2 linked regions of the Kluyveromyces lactis genome follow. The protein of the gene in region 1 interacts with the protein of each later gene in a pairwise test. Links are inferred from orthologs where the notes say so. Each region holds a gene or a part of one and is shown on either strand. Other genes may lie near its edges. The genes, in order: PEX11 and PEX10.

Evidence for each region.
Region 2: the proteins of PEX11 (region 1) and PEX10 interact in a protein complementation assay, tested with the Saccharomyces cerevisiae proteins (2 studies listed by BioGRID). The link is inferred for Kluyveromyces lactis from reciprocal best matches to the Saccharomyces cerevisiae genes PEX11 and PEX10.

Annotation. Positions count from the first base shown.
Region 1 is NC_006041.1:176,979-179,675, reverse strand, and holds PEX11 (Pex11p), read left to right. Parts: upstream 1-1,457; coding exon 1,458-2,162; downstream 2,163-2,697. Other genes in the region: DNA replication protein PSF3, read right to left, coding at 1-445; SPT20 (Spt20p), read left to right, coding at 2,685-2,697. UniProt on the Saccharomyces cerevisiae protein: Involved in peroxisomal proliferation. Promotes peroxisome division and biogenesis.
Region 2 is NC_006041.1:1,480,756-1,484,011, forward strand, and holds PEX10 (ubiquitin-protein ligase peroxin 10), read right to left. Parts: upstream 1,535-3,256; coding exon 617-1,534; downstream 1-616. Other genes in the region: E3 ubiquitin-protein ligase HEL2, read left to right, coding at 1-537; SHE4 (She4p), read left to right, coding at 1,750-3,256. UniProt on the Saccharomyces cerevisiae protein: E3 ubiquitin-protein ligase component of a retrotranslocation channel required for peroxisome organization by mediating export of the PEX5 receptor from peroxisomes to the cytosol, thereby promoting PEX5 recycling.

The sequences.
Region 1 (2,697 bases):
TTGAGAACATACTAACACTGATGGCGTGGTTATTGATCTCTTGACCTCTTTCTAGTAGCATATCTTTCAAGACTTGTGATAGTTCTTTATCCGAGAACAGTGTGGCCCACTTCTCAGCCAGGGTGTAGAAATGAGGGCTAATTGAGTGAAGATCGAGACTAGTAGCACCAGATTTAATAGCGTTTAGTACTCTTGGAGCGAATAAATCAGGCGGGAGCAATTCGACAAAAGGAAGAGGTTCTTCAACTCTAGAATCTTCATTAGATTGCGCACCCACTACAGCAAGAAGATGGACCATCCAAAGTGGTAACTCTAGTTTTGCATTTTTCGATATTGGTCTGCCTGGGTTTCCCTCCAGATAACCCAACCCAGGAACGTCATAGTTGAATCTACAGGGAAATCTAGTACCATCAGCCAGTATATCATCTATATCATAGTATCCCATCTCGGCATAAATCTAAGGCGATTCTCAGGAAGCTGAACCGGCAAAATATAGGCTGGTATTTGGAATTGTAATCTTACTTTTGGCGTTTCTTCAATATGAGATATACAAATGCTTTAAATGATTTTAGGTTTGGGCTTGATGGCTCTAAATGTAAACAATAGAAAAGAACGCAGTATTATAAAGCAGAAGACATCGCTCGCTAGTTAACGATTCTTTTTTACGTGTTTCGCGATGTTGAGAGGAAATGCATCTCGATGATATAAATCACGTGATTGATGCTTGCACACTACAAAATCGTCATTATATCACTGTACACGATTCGCATACATGGCTTTCTCGTTGTCCCTTTTTTTTTTCTCGAGTTTCGGAACAAATCGGGCCATCCTTTTCAAGCTGTTAGCGGAAGGACATTTGGTCCGAAATACACGTAAAAATGTGCGCCTACATACTAAATATTATGTCGCCCTTTTTCCCGGGATCCCAGTCTTCACCTAGTAAGATTGCTATTGTTGCATGTCTTCCCCCGGTACAAATGTCCTTAATACAGCAGGATCTTCCGTGCTAGTAACTTCGCAGCTCTGACTTGTCCCTCCCATTTTTTGTGGGGGACCCGAAAGAAGTTGATAATAAAGTACGTTTCGCTGCTAAGTGGAAATCCTCTCCTTTTACCGTAGAGCCTGACTATTTTCTGTTGACCCTGCTTTGATCTATGCCCATTGACATATGAAGTATAACATCACACTTTATATATATATATATATATTTATATATAAAGTAGAAAATGACTGCTGAAAATAAAGACAAGCAGTTTTAAGCATTTTCACTACTCCTTGTATTCCTATCTCATCAGACTCTGTTGAAATACGTTGCACCTGCGATACAATCTCTCTCTAGTGCTTTGTTTGAATATACTGTTTCCAATATTCTACCTCCTTCAGAAATCAATTGAAATACTGAGCCAGTTATCCTGAGTCATCTTCCACATCTAAACTTATAAGTTTTACAAACAAAAATGGTTTTAGACACAGTTATTTATCATCCTACGTTGACCAAATTCATTTCTTTGTTGAATAAAACAGCCGGCAGAGAAAAGATCTTGAGATTGCTACAGTACTTGGTTAGATTCCTTGCCGTTCAATACAGATCTGGTTTGAATAGACAGTTACAATCTGAATTCACGTCTGTCAGAAAGATTTTGAGATTCTTCAAGCCATTGAATCATATCCAGGACGCAGCCAAATTATACGATAACAAGATTGCTCCAGATCAATGGGTTAGATGGTTGTCCATAATCAAAAATGTGGGTTATGTTGGGTATTTAACTTTGGATCAAATTAACTTGTTGCGCATCCTAAAGTTAATCCCAGCTACTCCTATTACTGCCAAGAAAGTTCCTCGTTACACAAACTGGTTTTGGTTCGTTGCGTTGATCGCTGGTTTGATCACCGATGTCCGTAAGTTGTACACTTCTCAAAGAAAGATCGAAGCCTCTTTGAGTTCTAAGGGCAATGCACCAACCGAAAAGGCTAGTTCTGAAAAGTTGACCGCTTACTACAATGAGAGATTCGCCGCATTCAGAAGACTAATCTGGGATTCTATCGATACTTTCATTGTCTTAAATAACTTGCAATTCTTGCGTAATGACGAATCAAGTGTCGCCCTGGCTGGTGTCGCTACATCCGTCTTTGGTCTACAAGATGTCTGGAAGACTGCTTAAAGGACTTCTCCTTCCCTTTAATTTAGTTTATATATATATATATATTTATATGTATCTTCTTTCAACTTAACATATTACTCGATATGTTGATAATTGTAATTTCAGCTGGTACCGGGATAATTTCTGATGATGCCTCCGTATTAACTAGATGTCTGTGCAGCTATTAGGATATACTATCACCATTGTTTCATCATTTTAATACCAATGTTACCCGCACTTGTTGATGTTTACACTTTTCGACAGGCTTCAAAGTTGAAATTGTTGAAAACTACTTGAAATTCCATTTCATCGAGGACATTAAGCGAGCACCATATTCGCGGCTACTCTTGCACTTCTATTCGTAATTCATTGCTTCTGCGGGATAACATCACCACTATTTTTATAGGTGGATATTCCTCAATTTAGACTAATCGCTTTGGGATTATTTCATTCTGTTCTTTTCATTGAAAAGCCGGTTGTTAATCTGATCTGGTATTCGAAATACAGCAGATTGTTAAAAAGACAAAAGAATTGAAAAAAAAAATGAGCACAGGCA
Region 2 (3,256 bases), about 1.3 Mb from region 1:
CCTCTCGTCGCCGATTCATCATCTTCGGTTAACGTAGTTTATGGTAAATGGGGTAAAAAGAGTTCTTCTGGTGTTGGCGGGTCGAACGTGAAGTTCACGTCTCTACCAGCTGTATCCGAACCTATATTCTCCTCCAAAGCCTCGTATACTAATTTGCGGAAAAATGGCTCTTCTTCACCGTCCTCTCCAGTTATTAGGAGCGGTTTGACTTCCAATTCATCGTCATCAACTTCTTTAAACTATGCGAAGAAGAATCAATCACCGCCAGGTTCTTCAACCGTTGTAGTGAATTCACAACCGAATGTGACAGCTATCAAATCACCTAATCCAACCAGCTTCCCCAAGTTACAAGCTACTAAGAAAAAATTTGTTGCACCTCCAGTGAAACAGACTACCATACCAAACCCATCCACTTGGGGTAAGCCTCAAAACGACAACGATTCTATCAACTTGGATTCGTTAGACAATGCATTACCAGCTAGTGGTAGTAAGAAAAAGAGCAAACAAAAACAACTACTGTTCCATATTGGCATATAGATTTAACCCCGTTATATACAGCAGATTGTTTTAATAATACAAGAAAGCTCGCTGAAACATTTAGATATTCTTCTAAGCTTTATCTAACAGGTATCGTCAGCTGTCTCGGACACCTTTGCCTGCATAATGGACACTCCTGTCTTTCTAACGTCCATTCCATGATACAATCCCAGCAGAAAAGGTGACCACACGGAGTCGCGCTGGGATCCAGCATATAGTTAAGACATAAAACACACTTACGTGAATCCTCTTTGATGAAAGGTAGGACTTCTAGATCGCTAAGATCTTTTGAGGTGTGTTTTTTAGCTAATGCACTTAAACTCTTGTGGCTCTTCCCATCATCTGTTCCAATTCTGTCAGCGATGTATTCTGCAATCTGCGGTAAAAGCTTAGAAGCTAATTGCATACCAAGTATAAAACCAAGAATCTTGTAGTTTTGCGATGACTTCTTCTTGAATTCTACCTCATTCTTGTTCATTTCATGGCCAACCACATATCTCATTCCAAATATTCTCTTTGAGATATCATAATACTGTCCGCTCAAGTAGAATATAATTAAGTGCAAATTCAAAGTGGAATCCAAGATGTCCCTGAAACTCTTGCCATTGAATACTTTCAAGAAACCAGATCCCCTCTCATTGAGCTTATACTTGTAGAATACTTTCGATAATATCCACGGTACCCCACAATAACTGATAGCGAAACCAATCCTTCGCAGGAGTCTCGCAACACCTTTTCCTCGCCTATCAACATACGCCAAATCAACGTACTCTTCTCCAAGCGTTCTCCTATACCTTAGTGTTGTAATTGACAAGTATATCAACTTGCTGAGGATCATTATCTCACTAACATACCTGTTAGTGAACTGTTGTCCCTTAACTTTCCGTAGTACATCCTGGATCTTTTGTAACAGCAAGTTTTCCACAGTATCATCCTTTTGATGCGCCTGAACTATACTAGGTGCATCAGCAAATGGGAACTTCATGTCTGGTGCCATTGCTTGTCTCTCGTCAGTTTGTGTTCTTATTCGTTTTTGAAGATGTTAGATGGTTGAAATTGATCAATTGGAGAAATGAAGTTTTATTTGATTAATCATAGGGTTCGAAACCAGAGATAACTAAACCCGATCTAACATACAGTTGTTTGGGCTGGTACCGATAGTTCAATTCTGTGAATTTATTCTTTTTGTAATTCAATAAAGATATCAACGCTATGAATAAAGTTTGGGATAGAATTGTTGGCAGTGATAGTGCCGATGCTCAAAGTGTATTGAAAGAAAGATGTTCATCTCCGAAGGACGTGACGGATTTGTTGCACGTTATTCAAAACTGGACCTCAGAGATACATAACAATGGCGAGGAAACACGATGCTGGAAGTGTGTGCCGATGCTTGCCGGTTATGTGAAGGATTGGGGTCAATTGGAGTTTCTTTGCAGAAGAATACTTTTAAGAAGTAGCATACAAGAGATACGGCCATTACTTCTTGTAACGATGAAATCGTTGATGTCCAACCATTCAGATAATACGGAGCAGAAGTGTGGGAATATACTACAACAATTGTTAATTGAAGCCGAGGAAGATTCTGGCAATGTTTCTTTACGTTTGCTTGTAGATGCTATGTCTTTGGTGTTCCCTATCTGCCTTGGCGTTTGTAGAGACATGTTTCTTTCGACAGATTTCCAGGACATATTGACTAGGAATTTGAATTCTTCAGCGGATGATGAACATCTTGTAAACGGGGCTCTTCGTCTCTTGGCTGTTTCCTGTATTGACGAAGCAGTCAGAAGATTCATTGCAGAGCATTACCTTAAGACGTTACAACAATCATTTAAGGTCGAGAAGTATAAAGTACTGACTGCGTTGGTTTTGATCAAGATCTGGTCATTCACTAAGATAGAAAAGGAAACTCTTAACTCTTGCATCAACCTTTTCATCGACTCGCTTTCGAATGGCGAAAATATCGAGATTAATACTGAAGCTTTAGCTTACTTGACATTGAAGCCCTCTGTCAGAGTCTTGCTACGAGGTAACGGTGATGTATGTTTGAAAATAATCGAGCTGATCAAGTCACAGGACACTACACCGACTGATCTATACGGACTCTTGATTATATTAGCAAACGTAAGTGAGCACCCGTCACAGAATGAGGATACAGTCGATAAATTAAAAGCTTCATTGAAAACCAACCAAGAAAAGAATGACGAGCCGACATTGGAAAATGTTAAGGACATAGAAGAGTTTAACCGTGATTATATTATCGATTTAGACTTGATCGGTTCTTTAAAATCGATAAAACTATCCACCTCATCTTACAATCAAGCCATAAGAATCATATATAATGTGACAAGAGATAAAACACAGATATCAGAATGTGTGAAACAGGGTGCTGGATTGATGCTCTTGGTATTTTTAGCACAAAAAAGGAACCTTTCTAAAGATGAATGGTATCTTCTATCGATAAGAGCACTATCGAAAACACTCATCTATGTGAATCCAGAGACTGCGTTCAGCAAATATTCACCGTTGAGCGCAGCACCGTTCTTATTTGAAAATTTACCTTTACCAAATGACAACGCTTTATCGGAACTTCAATTCACACAATTAGATACTTACGAAGCATTATTAGCGTTGACAAATTTGGCTACTATAAACCAGGGAGTAGATCTCGGCAAAATCATCTTGAGTAATGCTCAGTATTGGGATAGTATAGAGAATCTCT